Xenopus tropicalis: one gene and its partner. The protein of the gene in region 2 binds, or shares a complex with, the protein of the main gene of each other region. Links are inferred from orthologs where the notes say so. Each region holds a gene or a part of one and is shown on either strand. Other genes may lie near its edges.

Evidence for each region. The genes of interacting proteins can lie anywhere in the genome.
Region 1: trmt112 (region 2) and thumpd2 share a complex: the UniProt entries of both Homo sapiens proteins name them as parts of the heterodimeric THUMPD2-TRM112 methyltransferase complex. The link is inferred for Xenopus tropicalis from reciprocal best matches to the Homo sapiens genes TRMT112 and THUMPD2.

What each region holds. Positions count from the first base shown.
Region 1 is NC_030681.2:42,408,326-42,417,492, forward strand, and holds the end of thumpd2 (THUMP domain-containing protein 2), read left to right. Parts: intron 1-423; coding exon 424-501; intron 502-1,155; coding exon 1,156-1,208; intron 1,209-2,079; coding exon 2,080-2,167; intron 2,168-3,338; coding exon 3,339-3,410; intron 3,411-4,510; coding exon 4,511-4,625; intron 4,626-5,703; coding exon 5,704-5,824; intron 5,825-8,019; coding exon 8,020-8,308; 3' UTR 8,309-8,464; downstream 8,465-9,167. UniProt on the Homo sapiens protein: Catalytic subunit of the THUMPD2-TRM112 methyltransferase complex, that specifically mediates the S-adenosyl-L-methionine-dependent N(2)-methylation of guanosine nucleotides, most probably at position 72 (m2G72), in the U6snRNA of the major spliceosome.
Region 2 is NC_030680.2:35,169,091-35,180,091, forward strand, and holds trmt112 (multifunctional methyltransferase subunit TRM112-like protein), read left to right. Parts: upstream 1-5,566; 5' UTR 5,567-5,595; coding exon 5,596-5,670; intron 5,671-6,871; coding exon 6,872-6,973; intron 6,974-8,277; coding exon 8,278-8,370; intron 8,371-9,507; coding exon 9,508-9,609; 3' UTR 9,610-9,691; downstream 9,692-11,001. Other genes in the region: esrra (steroid hormone receptor ERR1), read right to left, coding at 10,980-11,001. UniProt on the Homo sapiens protein: Acts as an activator of both rRNA/tRNA and protein methyltransferases. Together with methyltransferase BUD23, methylates the N(7) position of a guanine in 18S rRNA.

The sequences.
Region 1 (9,167 bases), on a different chromosome or scaffold from region 2:
GCACTTTTTGTATTTTCTTATTTATAATTTAGTTAACTGTTAGTTGTAGAATATCCTTTTTAACTCTTTAATTGGTCTTCCGTTTTTATTTGTTATAATTTTTGAGGCCCCCTCCTAGTCATCTTCAAGTATATTATTCAAAGCCCTGTCTTATTGCTAGGGGAACCTGTACCCTAGCAACCAGATAGCTGCTAAAATTCCAAAACTGGAAAGCTGCTGAACAAAATGCTAAATAATAAAAATAAATAAAGACCAATTTCAAATTATCTCCAAATGTCACTGTCTACATCATACTAAAAGTAAATTTAACTTTTTAAATTTAAATTACAATTTAATGTTAGTTATTAAGGATTTACTTTCTTTGCCTTAAACATATAATAGAGTATTGGTTTGGGGCCTAATGTAATGTTTGATATTTTCTAGGAGGTGGGTGCTGTTATTGGTGGATCTATAATAAAACAGTTTGGCTGGAAACCTGATCTCCGGATGCCAAGTCTAGAGGTATGTTTACTATTCATTAATTGGAAAATGCCAGCTCTTGGGATTTTGCTGCTCCTCCAGTGTGGGCAACAAAACATTTGAATCTTAAAATCCCGGGAAAGGCATTTCTGGTGATTATGCAATGTTAATGTTTTAGCAGTAAATGTTCACATTGACTTTTATACAAATGCATTTTCTGATGTTTTGTCTCCTGCACTGGAGGTGATTTTAGTGCAGGTGACAAAATGTATCCTTAAAGGAACAGTTTAGTGTAAAAATAAAACTGGATAAATAGATAGGCTTTGGAAAATAAAAAATGTTTTCAATATAGTTAGTTAGCCCAAAATATAATCTATAAAGGCTTGAGTGAACAGAAGTCTAACATTATAGCCAGAACACTATTTTGTTCTTAACAGCTGTTAGTCAGCCACTTGGGAGCCATATGGTATATAACTGTTATTTTGCTTTTGATCCTGAGCACATTTTTTATTTTATACAATCTACTCAAATTTTGTGGATTTTTTTTTCTTCTGGTAATTGACCAACTGTCCCAATCACTGATTTAAAGTCACAAGCCAACCCTTGCATATAAGTCCCTTGAGTCCAGACACTTAAACATGTTGCCATGCTATTGTGCAGCACTTCATAACAGTTACGTTCTGGTTTTTCACCTAGGTTTTTGTACATTTGAATGATCTGTATTCTGTGGTTGGGTTTCCAATCTCCAGGTAACTGTTTTCTTCTTATACCACACCTATCTTTCAACAGTATCACATATGGTCCTAACTTTGTCTTCCTTTTGTGTTATTCTAGTGATCAATTTGTAAAACTGCAGACACCCTACAGTGTTGTGTATTTTGTAGATTTTCATGCCTTCTTGATATTTTTGTAAATCCACACATATTGCACTACATCCCTAGGATCCCTCAGTTTTCAACATTAATTCTTCATAGCCTGACTGAACAACACCATACTACGCTACTGCAGAATTTTTCAATAATGTAAATATTATAAGAAAAGTAATAAAACAGCCCATATTGATGGTGTTGTTTTGTAAAAAAAAAAAAAAACAAAAAACACAATACTTTCATTCCAGTCGTTGGTAAACCTGGTAATATTGGATAAAATTTTCTAGGTCAGAGATTCTAAACCTATGGGTTAGGACCCCAGTGCTGTTCAGCATGGGCCTTTATAATCTCCTTAATAATGTGACATATTTTTCTGCAATAAAAAATTGTAATTCAGATGCATAACTGGTTCAAAACCAAATTTTGGGTTTCAGATTCAGTTGAAAAGAATACTTCAGATGTTATACAGGCTGATTTTTTTTTTTTTACAATAGAATCCATATAAATAATAAATAATAAAGTGTTAATAAATAATAATAAAGTGTTAAACCATATTACTATCCTAGTGTTAGTGACTAGGTCAATAACGCTCACAGATGGGGTTCCTCTGTGTATGTCAGTGTATCATGGGTAATCAGCTGTCATATTGTGTAAGCAGCTGTCATGTTGTGGCCTTTGACTTAATTTGACTTTATCACAGAGACAAGGCTATGTAAGTAAATCAAGATATGTTTCCTTTTATGGTTTGCAGGCAACCTTTGGCAAAAAGAGACTATATAAGAAATACAGGCCTAAGATCTACTACAGCTTGGGCTATGGGCACACTTGCTGAACTACATGTAAGTTGCTCCATATTCCCCTTTTTTAGTATTATTGTTAGATTTTGTAGTCAGACTGGGAGCAGCAAGAAATAAATGCCTATATTAAATCTGATTTATATGTGTAGCCTGTATATTTACTGTGTTAATAACAATAAAGACATTTTTTTGTAAATCTGCATAAAAAAATAAATAAAAGTATTTCACCAGCAGTGAAATTTGTGAGGGCAGAAGGGCATTATAGTAATACTAAAGTTAATACAGTCATAGTGTTTGGGGAATAATATTTGTATTGAGTTAAAGAATCAAAACCAAAATTGTTGCAATACAGTACCATGGCACACTGTGATATCACTAATGTATTTTAAACACTAATGTATTTTATGTTTCTGTTGTTCAGTTTGACTTAAAGGAGAAGGAAAGGTAAAAAGTAAGTAAGTAAGCTTTATCAGAAAGGTCTATGTAAATACAGCCATAAGCACTCACAGAAATGCTGCATTGAGTCCTCTGTCTAAAAAAACACATATGTACACATGTTATTCTGTGTCAGACTTCCTGCTCTCAGAAAAATTCTTCCAGGCAGGGGCAGGAGTCTGCTCAGTTTGCTCCTCCCTTCTCCTCCCCCCATCAGAATTCACTCCCCCTCCCATAAGAATTTGCTCCCTCCTCCCAACTTGTGTAATCTGAGCTACCAGCAGTCAGATCTGCAGCACTGAAGCTACTGAGACCAAGGTAAAATGGCAGCTGCTATCTTAAACAAACAGAGGGAGCTTTTAGGGCTGTTTACTCGGGTATGGTAAAGCTTTCAGCAGAATAAATATTGCGTTCTAGCTTGCACTAATGTGGCAAATCTGTTGGCAGTAAAATGCCTAAAATCCTTTTCCTTCTCCTTTAAACAATCTTAGTCCCTTCTCAGTATTGTTTTACATTTTTTATATGTACCCAGAGTTCTGTTTTCAGGATTTGTTAATCCATAATAGATACTAGAGGCAAAGTCAGTATGATAATTCTAGTACAAAGAAGCACACAGGGCACCTTTGGTGCAAATGCCATTTATGAATGAGCTCTGTATGTGCATAAATCCATTCCAATATACTTTTAAATAAGCCTTTCTGTCTCTAATACAGTAAGTCTTCCTCTGTACCCATCAGCAAGAATATTTTAGCATTTAATGTTCCTGTTTTATTTGTAGGTAGGAGCACTTGTTCTGGATCCTATGTGTGGTGTGGGAACAATATTGTTGGAGGCTGCAAAAGAATGGCCTGTAAGTATGCAGCAAGTGTTGGAATTTGACTGATGTTTTTAACTCAATTGAACATCTGTTCTTACAAGCTTTAGTAAACATTTATAAAAGAGAAAAAAACTGAAATGAATTCAGGCTTTACTATAAAGTTTCTTAATACACCTGTCTGCAAATCTTAATTTTAAAAATTTCAATGCAATTCCATAGGGATAAAGGGGTAACCAGTTATATTTTAATTAATCTGTATTAGACCAGAGATAATGAATGCCACATTTTGGAGTTCCTTTCAGCATTTGCAGTTATATTGCAAAATGTGAACTGGCACTTGTGACACCCTGTGGTCTGGTACTGTGACCTACTCTGTGGTCAGGAAAAATCAGCATGAAGCAAAAATCGCAACACTATAAAATAGAAGGCAGTACACTTTTTCAATGCAAAAAGAAGATGCAAAAAGTCCCCTGTCTGCCTCCCTAAGGCCAGTTTCACATGTGGCCTGGGTGCAGACACACAGAGCGGATTGCAGTGCCAAAATGAATAAGTGAGACTTTATACGCCAAAATCATTTCCTTGTGCCTGCCCCCCAGCCAGTGCAGTGACTTCGGGTACAGGCACATTAGAAAGCAGTAGCGTAGGGGCAGATTCTTGGCCTCCATTTTTACGCAGGCCGAGATTTCGCTATGTGTGACACTAGCCAAATGGATTACAGTTGGGTCTGACTTTTATTATACAGGAGTAACAGGAGTTAGGTCTCTTCCAGGTCTTTCAATCAACTGCCTTGTTTCAGGAGTCAGATAATGTAGACAGACTGACACTGCTTTCAGCTTAAATTGCATTTACAAACAACTTTAAAACCACTGGCATTTTTTAACAAATGCATATTGGGATGTTGCTAAGAATTGTTTTCACTATACAAAATGCAGTTTTTGGGTGGAGGACCTCTTTCATTTTCCCTAGAATTATACTAATTAAGGACACAACAATATCATATTTATAGTATGGATGACATACCTGTCACATAATGATTCCATGTATTCTTTTACACGTTTTGTAACATTGCTACAGTGTAGTTTTATTTTTGTTTGTATGTATTAATGACAACTGCATATTTTTTTTTCTTGCAGTTTGGTCACTTCCTGGGTGTTGATAATAATGATTTACAGCTCGAAAGTGCAGTTTCCAATGTAAAGGGGGCTGGTCTTGATGGCGCTATAGAGTTACTCAAAGGTTCCGTTCTAGGTAAAATTTAAAGGGATAGTGTCATGATTTTTATAGTATACTTTTTATTTCTAAATTACACTGTTTACATAGCAAATAATTCACTCTACCATTTAAAGTTTTATTCCTGAAGCAACAAATGTATTTTTTTAGTTGTAATATTGGTGTGTAGGCAGCCGTCTCAGTACATTGTGCCGGATTCTGAGCTTTCACAAGGAGCCAGCGCTACACATTAGAACTGCTTTCAGATAACCTATTGTTTCTCCTACTCCCATGGAACCGGAGGAGTCCCAGGCCGGACTTGGATTTCTTACTATTGAGTACTATTCTGATATCTACTGGAAGCTGCTATCTTGCTACCTTCCCATTGTTCTGCTGATCACCTGCAAAGGGGGAAAGGGAGGGGGTGATATGACTCTAACTTGCAGCTCAGCAGTAACATGTGTCTGACGTTTATCAGAGCGCTGCGGAATATGTTGGCACTTTATAAATAAATGTTAATAATAATAATCTGGGACTTCCAAGAATGAAAATACTTTAGTGCGCATAGTTCTTATTCCTGTATTTTATTTATTTCTTTTAATGGCAATTAAAATACTTAGGGCTGTGGCTCATGAGAGTCTCAACACTACAATGTGAAACAATCTAACTGGATTTTCCCAGTAACACTGTGCTGAAGTTTTCTACTATACATATCATTCTGACTTTTTGCCATTCAGCCCACTAGCCGGATGTATTTGTATGTAAGGCTGAGCCAATTCTACCTTACAGATAAGACATCATTCACATCAATTCCAGCACCAGTGGAGCTTCCCATTATATTTACACAAACTGAGGTCAGTTTTATCATGATCAAATTAACCTGCGTGTAAGGTTTTGGAGTGTGAGAGGATACCAGTGTCCTGGAGGAAACCTACACAGAGATAGGTCAAACATAAAATCTTTAGAGAAATAAACAAAAATTTAAATAAATATCCAACTTTTAATATATGAGAAAGGGAAATCCATATGGAATAAAAGTAAGGGTATACTGGTCTTTTAAGAATGGTCTATTATAAAGTGTATTTTAAATAATTAGCAATTCCTCTGTATCTTGTAGATCTGCCATTTGTCTCTGAAAGTATGGATGCAGTGATTTGCGATATTCCCTTTGGAAGAAAGTTCACGTCCTCGAAAAATATGAAAGATCTTCTTCCAGATATCATTCGAGAAATGCAAAGGTATTTTATTCCTATGGTTTTTGTAAACCAGACACATTATGAATATGGTTTGATGAGGCTGTGATATACACACCACCCATTATCTGAGGTGGCTAAAAGGGTGGGTTCTAGGTTACTTGGCTTGCAGTAGTTTATTTGTAATATAGGTTACTGTAAAGGAGACATATTGGATAAATGGAAAAAAACCCTAATTTTGTAGGCAATTATGAATAATATACGGTGCTGGTTTCACTTTGGGCTAAACATTAATCCTATCTGTGAAAATGGCCCCTTTATTGGAGCTCCTTATAGATCCTATCAGTTCTCTGTCTGTGTTTCAAATGACGGGTGGGCGTGTCCTAACAGTCCCTGCCAGAAGCACAGCAGGAGGGGGATATTTTTATGGTGTAGTTTTTTTTTTTACTAAATTACACTGTGTACATTGCAAATTATTCATTGTACCATTTAAAATTTTATTCTTGAACCAATAAATGTATTTTTTTTAGTTGTAATATTGGTGTGTAGGCAGCCATCTCAGATTATGGTGATGATCCCGTGCTTTCAAAAAGAGCCATCACTTCACAATAGAACTGTTTTTTTCCTACTCGGTGGAACTGGACGAGTCATGTCCAGACTTGGGTTTTCACTGTTGAGTGCTATTCTCATGTTTATCATGGATCATGGGAGCATTTTAGCAATGCAGGTGGCAGGGAGCTGTTGATGTTACATTCCCATTGTTCTGCTGATCTGCTGCTGTTGTGGGGAAGGGAGTGTTTGCATATTTCACACTGCAAATTTCAAAAATAAATTTAAAAAAAAAAAAAAATCTGCGCCTTTGAAAAAAAGGGTTTTAATGCAGGATTCTGCTGCAGGGGCAGTGCTTTTAACTGATGCATTAGGAAAAAAACTAAGTAAATTCAAGGGGGAGATTAGCTAACGTAGGTAAAAAGAAATGACATTTGTTTCACCTTTTACTTCTGCTGGGGATTATATTTGATTATTAGTTTAGAAACAATTTTGTTGAACTCGGAAATAGAAATTTGTTATTTGTGACATGACACTCATTTTATCCATAGTTCCTTCCCTTGGCTGTCTGTGTGCTGAATTCAGCCTGCCTGTGACTATAAAATGATTCTGAGAATCTTAGCTTTGCAACAGCTGGAAGTCTGCAGGTTTACTTTCCTTGTCTGAGCTTCAGATGGAAAGGCAAGCTCACAGCAAGCAGCATTTTTCAATTATCGTGCAGGCGGCTCCATCTGTTGATCACTGCACTGGCCTTGATTCCCTGGGGAAGCACAGCTGCTTTAGGTGTAAAGGAATTACAGGAACCATGGCAGTTTTCACACAGTTTTATTAGACACACACTATATGAAAGGGCAGTGTATTTAAGAGTATGTGTGTCTCTGTACAATCCCCATTAATAAGACCCCAGCAACCAGATAGCTGCTGAAGTACAAAACCAGAGAGCTGCCATATATAAAGCTAAATAACTGAAAAACCACAGAAAACAAAAAATGAAGACCAATTGCAAATTGTCTCAGAATATCGCTGTCTACATCATAAAAGTTAATGGTGAACCACCCCCTTAAAACACCCACAAAAGCATTTGCTTGACTTGTCATTTCCAGTGCTCACTGTCAAAATGATGTCTGTGCACAATCCTTTAGGCACAAGTATGGGCTGCTGTGGGAACCCTGGAGCTGCTGACTTCTTCAGAGGTGGCGGTAGCTCCAGGGTTCATCTGCATTCATTTAGTGACAGGAGGTGGAAAGGACCGAGCGCAACTATATGGACATGCAAGGTTTGCCTTTTGATGCAAGTACAGGTATGGGACCCATTATCTTTCTATAATTGGAATCTCCATACTTTTTTGTATTTACTTAAACATTAAATAAACCCAGTAGGACTGTTTTGCCTCCAATAAGGATTTATTAAATCTTATTACAAGGTACTGTTTTATTAACACAGAGAAAAAGAATATAAGTATTTTAATTATTTGATTAAAATAAAGTCTAAGACAGATGACCTTCCCATAATTTGGAACTTTCTGGATGATGGATTTCTAAATAATGTATCCCATACCTGTACCTTTAATTATTTTGCACAACGACTGGTAAAATTTGTGCATTTTTACTCGTAAATGACCCATTCAGATTCCTGCTGTGTCAGCATGAATGCATTTTGAAAATTATAAATCCAAATATTATGTATTGCAGAGTTGTGCGTGTAGGAGGGGCAATTGTGTTACTGCTCAGCCAGTGTCTTCATCATCACCTGAAAGTCAACTTTCACTTCGGTGCTACTGACAATAAAAACATCACTCACAGTGGTAACAATTCCGTTTCTGAGGAGAATGGGGATAAAGAAGCTAATAAAAGAGATATTCTCAGCAGAACTCATTGGTTTGATTCTTTGATTGCACTTGAGTCACATTCCGTAAGCCTTGGAGTAACTGAAGCTGTGATATTCAAATGTAAAAAAGCCCCTCCCTCTTTGTCCTTGTAACCCATTTGTGAAATCAAAGACTGATTTTTTCATGGACACTGTTTGCTTAGTCAACAATATATATTTTTTATAACCTATGTGCTAGGTAGACTTTTTAAGTCTCTTATCTAAGTTATTTAATTGTGGCTTGGAATGCAATAAATTCTTTATTTTTAATACTGGCAGTTTTATTCTACATTACACAGGTATAAAGACTTCTAAAAAAACAGACATATTAATATATAACATACCGTATATAAATTATAATATATAACTAATAAATACGACTGTGCAAATACCACAGACACTTACAGAGTAGGTATAAACAGCCTGATTAACTAACTGACACATCAAAGTTGTGGCCTAAAGCAGCGCTAACACTTTCTACATAGTGGGTTAAATAACTAATATTTGACATGTATTTAGGCCACGCTAATAGAATACAGCACTAACGTATCATCTCTTTTATGCTTTACAAATCACATATTGCTAGAATTTCGTTTTTGCTAAAAATATTGCTATTACTGGAGAAGCAAACTATATCTACTTGTGAATACTCTTCTTATACAGGAAGATCCTACAGGGGCAGTTCAGCTTCACATTAAGATGACTACTTTTCAGCCAGTTTCTATTCTTTATTTTTAATCAGTTTGTAATGATTCCCTTCCTCTTTGCACTTTTTCCCCCCCAAATAAAATCCGGGTTCTCCCTCTACACAAAATCACAGGTCTGTGATATACATGCAAAATCGCATTCACCCGTGGGGCTCTCTGTGTAGAGGAGGTGCGTATTCCATCCACCAACACAGTGGAAACATTAAACATGCCTTATTATTTGTCACTGGGCAATACTGTAAAGGGGATTGACATGAACATGTAAC
Region 2 (11,001 bases):
ATTGCCTGTTCCTGACCTTGAACCTTGCTGCCTGCCTTAAGTGACCTTTGCCTGAACCTGACCTCGCTATTGGATTACCCTGCATCTGTACTTCGCTCGGACTCGCTGGAAGCGGCCTTCCTCCTTGATCCTGACTTCACCTTTCCCGTGGGTGCCGGAGGCCCCCACTGACATTATACTCGGGCCATGGATCCCGAGGAAGCGGTACCGGACGTCGGAAGAGCCCTTCGCGGGCTGGCGTCCCGTATGGAGGCGTATGAATCCCAGCAAGTCAGAATTGGGCAAGTACTTGATTCCATTTTGTCCCATTTGCCCGCTACTCCCGCTGTCGCGGAAATTCCTCCTGCTGTGATGGTTCCTCTGCCAGCGATGTCGCCAGCTCGTGAGCCACGAATACCTCCTCCTCCGCGCTACAGTGGCAATCCGCAGGCCTGCAGGGGATTCGTGACTCAATGCCAGATTCAGTTTGTTTCAGTTTGAGAAGCTTCGGAGATGCCTTTCCGGCCTATGTCTGTACTGCGGCGGACAATCCCACTTAGCGGTTTCCTGCCCTGTCAAGCTGGGGAATACTCCTGCTTCAAGTAAGACTGTTGTTTCTTTTGCTGGTAGTATTGTTCCTAAGTCAGCGGAACAATCTCACCAATTTCATGTTCCTGTGCAGATCCGGTTGTCCTCCCAGGCAATTCCAGTCTCAGCCTTCCTTGATTCCGGAGCTCCAGGAAACTTTATGGACTTGGCATTCGCAAAAAAGGTTGGCATTTCCCTCTTTCCAATGACTCGCCATCGATGACAGACCTCTCTCCACGGACACCATCACTTTAACCACCGGTGAACTATCTGTCCAGATTGGAGCACTACATCTGGAAAAGATGTCATTCCTGATCATTCCATGTCCTTCGTCTCCTGTTGTGCTGGGGTTGCCATGGCTACGACTCCATAACCCCTCCATTGACTGGTCATCGGGTCAAATCTCCCGTTGGAGTCAGTACTGCCAAAGACATTGTTTAATTCCTCAGCCACTCCAGCGGGTTACAGTCTCCTCTACGAGTCTTTCAGCTCTGCCCTCCGTCTACAGGGACTTCTCTGATGTTTTTTGTAAAAAGTCAGCAGAGTTTCTTCCCCCGCATCGGCGGTATGACTGCCCTATTGATCTCCTTCCTGGAACCATGCCACCCCGTGGGCGGACCTATCCCTTATCCCCTGCAGAGACGGCTGCCATGAAGGAGTATATCTCTGAGAATCTCCAGCGTGAATTTATCCGTCCTTCTACCTCCCCAGCAGGAGCTGGCTTCTTTTTTGTCGAAAAGAAGGACGGTGGACTCCGCCCCTGTATTGACTACCGGGGTCTCAATAAAATAACTGTTAAGAACAGATACCCTTTACCCCTTATTTCTGAACTTTTTGACCAACTTAAAGGGGCCAAGATTTTCTCTAAGTTGGATCTCCGCGGGGCCTATAATCTCATCAGGATCCGAGAGGGCGATGAGTGGAAGACGGCTTTCAATACCCGTGATGGGCATTACGAGTACCTCGTGATGCCCTTCGGCCTCTGCAGCGCTCCAGCCGTCTTCCAAGAGTTCGTTAACGATATTTTTCGGGACCTCCTGGGGAAGTCTGTTGTCGTGTACCTGGATGACATCCTTATCTTCTCTCAAGATTTGGAGACCCATCGCTCCCAAGTCAAAGAAGCCCTTTCTCGCCTTAGAGAAAATTCTCTTTTCGCCAAGTTGGAGAAATGCACTTTCGAAGTACCAAAGATCTCCTTCCTGGGCTACATTATCTCGTCTAGGGGCTTCGAAATGGATCCTGCCAAGGTATCTGCTATCCAGAAGTGGCCACTTCCCCAGAGTACTAAAGCAATCCAGAGGTTTATAGGATTTGCGAACTATTACCGCCAATTCATTAAAGGCTTTTCTTCCCGCATTTCTCCTATCCTTTCCCTCATCCGCAAAGGAGGGAGACCCAATTGTTGGCCTCCTGTGGCCCTTGAAGCCTTCCAGTCCCCGAAGGATGCCTTCATTTCGGCCTCTGTTCTTCGACACCCAGAGCCCTATTCACTTGGATCCCTACACTACAGGCAATGTGGCCTGGGAGAAATATCTCCAGAAAAACTGCAAATCCTATGAAGGAGCTCAATGCTGCTCATTCTAGCTCAGCCCTAACTGCCTTACACTCCTAGAGCGTACTATAAAGGGAGCTACACCTGCCACTATCTAATGCCTCATTCACGGGGCCCTGTTCCCCGACTTCACTGGGCCTGGGCCCACGCCCTGGGCTCTCAGCACACATCCACCTTGTCCCTAAGGTGGCAGCAAACAAACAGGAAGGTGCCACTCCTCTCCCCACACTATAACAAAGTCAGGCAGGATGTGGTCACTATACCTTCTAACCAATAGCACACACATGTTAATGAACTCACTTAGATACATTCCCTTCTGCCCAGCAACTAAGGGAACTGAACCTGTAGGGATTTAAAGCCATAGGGACCATTTAACCCTATGGGTCCCTACACTGTCATTTACAAACAAGTTTAAAACAATTCAAAATTGATGTATACTGAAAAATTGCTTAGAATTGCATTAGACCATCTGGCCAAAATGAATGCTTGCATTTATTCCCTTTAATATATTATAACTACTTAATGTAGTCTGCAGCTTTGCTTATAGGAGCACCAAAGATTCAGTTTATAAACCAATGGCATTACTACCTTTGCTCTTATATCTTCCACCATAGGAAGCAATATCTCCAAAACCTAGCACAGGGTAACCCTGAAGCTACTGCCACCCCAAATGTGTTGGCACCTCTAAGTTTCCATGGCAACCTGCATCATGTGCCCTGAGAATTGTACACAGATGTTAAATGATATCATGACAAATAAAATTTTCTCTGCATTGTGTCCAATTCAAGTCGAAGTGCAAGTGCAAGTGCAGTTGCATGCTTCTTAAGCGCATTATCTGCAATTGAATCGGGTGTGTTTCCCCCTCATGACCATACTATAATAAAGGTATGTGAAAAAAGTGAATAAAAAGATAGGATGTGCTCAAACTTTGCATGTTAAACTTGTCTTTTGTCCTACAATACATATTGTACAATTTGGCTAAATATTAAAGCTTGATTAACCGACCACTAGGTGGCACTGCAGACCTATGCAGTCTGGTGGCAAATGGACCAAAGGGAGTCCTCAATCCAGACTGATTTCATGTTTTAGCCAATCAAAACTGCTAGTACTGAACTAGTAAAACAGTGCTTGCTTGTTTGAGGCAGACAGGCACCAACAGGAGCTAGGGGGCAAAGTGGAACCACAGAATAGACCCCTCGATCACGCAACTGAAAGTAAATTATCCTTTCAATCTTTGTTTAAAAAGTATATTCCCCACACTCTAATACAGTTTCAGTTTTGATCTATATTAGAAGAATATATTAGCTTAAAATATTATGAATTGTAAAGCTGGAAGTATAGCTCACGTTGTTTTTAAAGGCAGAATTATTCTTAATGAGTTATTGCTCAGATCTGTTTTTAGCAACCTGATCATCTGTATCAGGCTTTATTATAATTTCAGGGTAGTTGTCTCCACCTAAATATGAAGCCAGTTGTTTGGCAATAGCTTGCATGTGTTCTGACCTGTGCACAAAGAACACACATTAGAAATACATAGCTGTAAGGATTACTTTACTTACATGGCCGCATTCTAGTGGCAAAAGACATCAGCATTTTCTGTGGAATACACTCCTTCTATTCCATTGTATAGGTGCTAAATAAAAGGTGTAATTTATGTATGTAATAAGCATCTACTAAGTAGTAGTAAGGTTAGTTTGTGGTTAATTAATAATGCTTTAAAAGAATGTTGTCTATCATAGGTCTGAATGTTTAAATAAGGAGACCAAGGGCAAGGCCCAGACTGGCAATCTGTGGATTCTGGCAAATGCCAGAGGGGTTGCTGTAAGATGCCATAGACAGTCACTATTTAGTTGGCTATTGGGGGGGGGGGGGGGCTGTTTGGGCCTCTGTTTACGTAAAATGCCAGGGCCTATTTTGACAGAGTGTAACTGCTGCACAGCTATTTACACCACTGGGTTCTTCAGGTTTTGTACTTGTTAAATACAAAGCTAAAGATGTAATAATCAAATCTTTAATCATTCTTTCGCCTACTGACACTTTTTCCTTTTTAGTACAAACATGCAATAATAAATCTTGTTCAGATGAACCACACACATATCCTAAGCTGAAGCTTTTAATCTCTCTCTCTCTCTTGCATGTTCTAATTGCACCCTGCTTTAACTGCCCCTTAAAACTGGATTTTGCTAAATCAAAGAGCCGCCACAAATGGTCACCAAAATTCCCTTAAAATTCTTAAGGACATTTAGGCGTTTTTGGCCTATTAGCATTTGGGTTGCTCTTGAACTGTATGACAAAAATTGTGTGTTATATTATTTTTATAAGGGTTTTCAAATTTGTATTCAATATTTATAACTAGTGACTCTTGGATGAACTTGGGTGTAATTTTAATAATGCTTTTATAAAGATTAACCACAAGCCCCACCCCCCTTCCCCACCAATATTCTATGGCCTTTCATTTGTTTTACTGAGCTTGTGGGCTACTCCTACATGGGTAACATATAAATGAATAATTTGTGACAATGCCAGGATCTCGCTATTATAAATACACAGAATTACAATATGTGTAATAAGGAAAAGCAACTTATATTTAACATGTGAACACAAATGGATTCATTTTTGTGCACCTTCACATTTGGAAGATAAACATGGCAATTTAATATTAACTATATTTAAGAGATCATTTTTTTGTTCAATCGAAGCATACGTTTACTTAGATCACTCTTTTATTTACTTAGATCGCTTTTTTAGTCAGTATGGTTTGATATACACTTATTAGTGATTATCCAATTGTGTGACTATGTTTTAAAAGTATTAATATCTATTTTTCTAAATTCAGGATCAGTGCAAATCATGAAGTGAGCCAATGTGGCTTGTGAATTGGGCTGTCATACTGCCATTTCCTATGATTTAAGCCCCTTGCAGGACAGCATCATTTCAGTACCTAAGTACCTAAGCTAGCTGTATAATGACCAGGGTGTCAAGGCTGTATTTCTAAATAAGCAGCTATCACACAAATCCAGAAATATAATATAAAAAATCAAATCTCTAATTCTTCTATCATCTATAACAACCCGTAGTTATTGGTTTGAACACATCATTGTTAATAAAGAGAACATTTACCTCGTAATACAAAAGTTAAAGAACAAAACGAAACGCTTTAGCACAATTTTATTACTGAAATCTATGTCTCCCGTTTTTTATGTTTCACGATATAAAAGGAGCCATGTTTGTTTACAAGTATCGCTCCTCCCACTAGCGCCAGCGTAATGACGTTACCGCGTACATGCGCAATCACAGCGAATATGGCGGCTCCCTAGGAGCGATTGGTGGGAGGTGTTCTGTTAGTCTGTCGCTAGGGGTAGCTGGGAACAGTGGGCGGTGCTTTTCGGAATAAGGGCATTGGTTGGTGGGGACTGAGGTAGAATTCCAGGAAGGAGCTGCGGAGGGTTACACGTGGGTTAGCGGTACCGAAGACCATGAAGCTACTGACGCATAATATGTTGCGAAGCCACGTTTCCGGGGTGACCCGGGGCTTCCCGCTACTCATCCGGGTATTTGTTGCGCTTTGTGCATTGCATGTCACTTACTGATATTTCATTTACTAGTATTCATTGGCTCTACCCCTGTTGTACAGCCAAAATGGGATTTGTGTAGCAGTAACTGTAGTAGATACAGCCCTGGCGTTGTATCCCCTTTATAATAAAACAGAATAAAGCAATGTTGGGGCCAGTCATCTGCTTCATCAGTCCGTGGTATTGGTTTAATGAAGGAATACAGACTGGGGTGCTCTCTCCTTGTAGGTTACATCGTTTATTAAAAACTACGGCTGTTCCTATCTGAGTTATTGTTAGTAACAGTGGCACCAAGGAGAAGGAATAATGGGTTTGGCAGGGTCATTGGTGCCGCTGAAATCAAAGCGTAAGGCTAAAGCACACAATGACCTTTGTGACAATTAAATGCTTCCTACTTTGTGGCAAGGGATTGCGGGGAGACCCTTTCCTGTCGCACGATTATAATGTCCCCTGGGCACAAAGCAACATTCATACAGAGTCCTGACCTCATCCCAACTGAGCACCAGGGGGATAAATTGAAATGCTGACTGTAACCCATATCTATATTATCATTCCTGATCCACAGCATCAGTACCAACCTCATCATGCCCCTGTGCCTGGATGGAAGCAATCTTACCAACACTGTATTAGCAGTTAGTGGAAATCCTTCCCAGAAGAGTAGAGGCAGGTAAAGCAGCAGTGAAGACCAACTTTATATTAATACCGTTGGTTTAGGAATGAAATGTTGGATAGGCACTTTTGTCCATATAGTGTGCACTGGGTTAGGAATTGAATTCCAAAGGTTACAAGGCTGTCAGCCATATTTCATCTGGGTCCATAAGGAAAAGGGTAATGCCTGTGCATTATTTGGCTCTGGGTTGGGCTCACCTCTGGCAGCCACTCCTACATTGACTTTAATGCTAATTGTCTGGACCCTGTCAGTGTACTCACAGGTTAGGCAAATATTTAGAATCATGGCAGTGACCTGCCCCCCAAGCATAACATGATGGACGAGGTGGCACCCCAGCCACTGGGTAATGCAGAAAGGGTAATATATATGTGTGATAAATAATGCACAGTGACTGGCAAAATAAATAAAACTGGTGGCTGGCTGCACACGTGGCACAAGCTAACATGACAAAGACCACAAATAGTTGACTCAGATGTTACCATTTAATGAGAATGTCTTTTTTTCCCACAGGCAGAGGAGGTCAAGCTTAGTGCTGTTGATTTCAATCAGGATTTTGTGACTCGTATGATTCCTAAACTGGAGTGGGGCGCTCTTGTGGAAGCCGCAGAGAGTGTGAGTACAAACCTTTGTGGGACTGTGTTTTCCACTTAGTTGATCTAAGGGCAATGTCACACATGGTGATTTTCTAATGCAGCAACGTTGCAGCAGCAAAACCCCATGAATTGCTGCAAATTGCTTCTGCGTGATTATTTCATTAAAGCTTTCACACCCACATTTTTGTGTAATAACTGCAAGCACATTGCATACTTGCAAGTGATTATGTTGTAAAGGCATTAGCGGCAAAGATACTCTTTCATCAAAGTGAAAATTTTCACTGGAAGGGAATAGACAATACAGAAGGAAATGGCTGGAACAAGGAGGTAAGCAGCACCTGTCTGGGTGCAATTTAAGGAGGAGCAAATGGCAAAGGGCAGGATCAAACAGAAAGGAGCAGAAGGAACAAGTGTCAGAGAGCCTCTCCAAACTGAGCAGGGGAAGTGGGTTGGGTGTGGGGGTTAGTTGTGTGTTGCAGCCTGTGGATAGATCAGGTGGGGGTGCAGCAGCAATACTACTTGTCTTGGTTCTGCTTAAAGCTGCACCCCCACAGGCAGGGGGAGTTACGTTATATGGTAGCTTTTCATTTTTTTTAAGTGCAGCGGTTAGACCATTATTATAATTAAAGAAATCTCTAAGCGCTTGTGATATGTAGTAAATCTTGTGCTCTCATATGCTGATTGCGGCATGGGTCAGTGATTAGAAATGGCAGCCTGCCCAATAGCATGGTTGTTTTTGGCAGGTTATGTTGAGGAAGTGCATTTATAATCCATTTATATCTAAGAAAAAGGCAAATAAACACACTTGTGGAAAAAGATGTATTAAACATTCTCTACATTGTGTTTATACATTGTTTACCTTTGAGTAAACATTTAGTATGATGTAGAGAGTAATATTCTGAGACAATTTGCAGTTAGTCTTCATTTTGTATCTGTAGTTTTTTAGTTATATTACTTTTTGCTCAGCAGCTCTTTAGTTTACTAAGTATAAACAAAAACAATAAACCTGTAGCCTCACAGAGCAATAGTTTTGTGGTTGCTGGGGTTGGTGACCCCCATTTGAAAACTGCTAAGAGTTAGAAGAAGGCGGCAAATAATTAAAAAACTATAAAGACCAATTGAAAAGTTGGTTAGAATTGGCTATTCTATAGCATACTTTAACACCACACTGCTGGGTCAGCTTTAATGGCATATCTGTGACAGACAGGAGTACTATGCTCATTATCTCTTTCTATGACAGGAGGACCCAGTTGTACACTCAGTGCAAAGATGCAACCTATGTATCTACTGCCTCTCTCACCTCCTGTTTCATTTGCTTTATAGCTTGGGCATGGCTCAGATCTACCCCGAGAGTTGGAGACAGGATACGAAAAGAATGAAGATTTCTTGAAGAAAGTTCACCACGTATTATTGGAGGTAATAGTTCTTACAAACACCAGTAAATGTGAACTGATTTTGTAGTGTAGAATATTTTCTCTCCAATTTCATTTTATACCGTAAATGTCTTTTTTAGGGCAGTGAAAAAAAATTCTTTGCCATTGTGCTGAGAATCGCTACCAGTAAATCACTAAAATGTTGTCAAAATACATACAAAGGAAGGTTTGCCCAGTATTATAAAGAGGTTGTTCACCTTTAAATTAAGTTTTAATATGATGTAGACAATGATATTCTAAGAGAAGCAATTTGTCTTCATTTTATCATTATTTGTGGTTTTTCAGTTAATTAGCTTTTTGTTTACCAACTCTCCAGTTTGGAATTTAAGCAGCTATCTGGTTGCTAGGATCTTGATAACCTTAGCAACCAGGCAGTAGTTTGAATGAAAGACTGGAATATGAATTAAAGGGGGTCTGAAAAGAAAGATAAGTAATAAAAAGTAACAATAATAAAATTGTAGCCTCACAAAGCGATAGTCTTCTAGCTACCAGGGTCAATGACCCCCATTTGAAAGCCGGAAAGATGTAAAAGAGGAAGGCAAGTAATTTGACTATTTACAATGTTGCTAGAAATAGTTTAATTTTAATATGTTACAAAATGTCCTAACTGGTTCCCAGGGTCCAAATTAGCCTAGCAACCAGACAGTAGTTTGCATGAGAGGCTGGAATATGATTAGCAGAGGGGGAAGAATAGAAAGATAAATAATAAAGTAACAAGGACAAGAAAATTGTAGCCTCAACGACCAATAGATTTTGGCTTTGAAAAAAGTAGAAAAAGGCAAATAATTTAAAAACTATAAGAAATAAAAATGAAGAGCAATAAAAAAAAGTTGCTAGGAATAGGCCATTATATAATTTACCAAAAGTTAACTTAAAGGTGAACAACCTCTTTAATTGCAGCAATTCTCAGCACCCACAATGACTAGGGATCTTCTGGTATTTGTTACCGCAACAAAACATGATTAACAAAATCCCAAATGATGTATATTTAGGGCAGGAGAGTTTCCGAGGGCTAAATTCACTTTTTGACTTTTTTTTTAAATAGATAAACATAAAAGAGGAGGTAAAGGGATGGCTAAAGTTGGTCATATTCCTAAATAACATTCTTTTTGTCTCCTAGGTTGAGGTCATTGAAGGTGCATTGAAATGTCCAGAATCCGGCACAGAATTTCCTATCACCAGAGGAATCCCCAATATGTTAATTAATGAAGAAGAGTCCTAATAAGCACAATGTTTCCACTTATGTAAATATATAACCCAGCTGTTATTTTGTGTGTGGTTTCAATAAATGTTCTGTTTGATTATTGCTGTACACTTGTGTGTGTTGTGCTGCACAGAACACATATAGTGAATTAACAGACACAGCATGAAATCTCCCTGATGTTTATTGCAGTCCAGGCTCCATTGGGCCTTATCAGTATACAAGGATCTAAATATATTTATAAGCAATGAGGTATATTACATATCCACATTATTCTATAGGTTTATATACAGGTGGGGCTCATGGTGGCTTCAGAGAACAGAAATAAAATCATAGAAATAAAATGAATACAGCAATCAATGCCTAAATTAATTAAACATAAACACAGGCTTGGGCTCTGGAAATTGTGGTGGAAATACAGAGGGAAAAGGGATAATTAAAAGTAATATTAGAATTTTACTGAAAAAAAGTGCATTGTTGGCTAAATGGTCTGCAGAAAAAAAACATTATTTTGTGAAATGTGGGCATATACCTTATGTGGCTTATTGCCCATTTCATTTTCCACAATTATACTAATGATTGTTATCTTATACACAAAAATAATAATAATAATACAATGATTTCACCCTCTGGCAATTGTTTTATGACCTGGTACAGTGACACTCGGTGGTCTTTGCACTTATTGCAGTATAAAGTTTCCACGGATTATACCTTACTGTAGTGACATCTAGTGGTCAGATTGCATAACGTTTTTACAACCATGTTGTATAGTGCAGTCTTGATGTTTGTTTTACAGAAATGAGCTGGGGTTATGGTTGCACAGGATAACAATTTGACAATGAAGTAGGGCAGGGGGTTCAGAGAATACAACTTTACATATATTGTCTTATATATTAGGAGCAAACAATATTTATACTTTAAAAAATCCTTTAAACTGGCATGAAGTCACACTAAAGGCCTGTACATTAAGTTGGGATGTTGTACCTGAACTACAGTAACAATATCATACTCAGCAGTGCCAACATTTATGAAGGGGGGGTTATGGTTTGGAGGTTAGTAGCTATAATTTTCAGGGCCATGTACATAAACTGCATTAAATAACTACCCTCCAACCACTCTGATATGGCTTATTGCTAAATACAGCCAACTCTGTTCATGGCTGTATCCTATTCATTCTGTGTGGCCACATCCACCAATGCTGCCCAAATCTTTGTTCGGTATATTTTGTCAGGGCAGTGCCTATTAGGCACATTCCCTGATTTTCTTCTCCTGCTCAGTCCATTCTTATCCTTTAGAGTGCACGTTTTGGTTTTTGTGACCCCATTAAATAGACTGTCCCTTTATTACTATTGGGGCAAGTTTATATATTCCTAAAAAGTCTCTGATTTACATCAGTCCATCATAGCCTCCAAC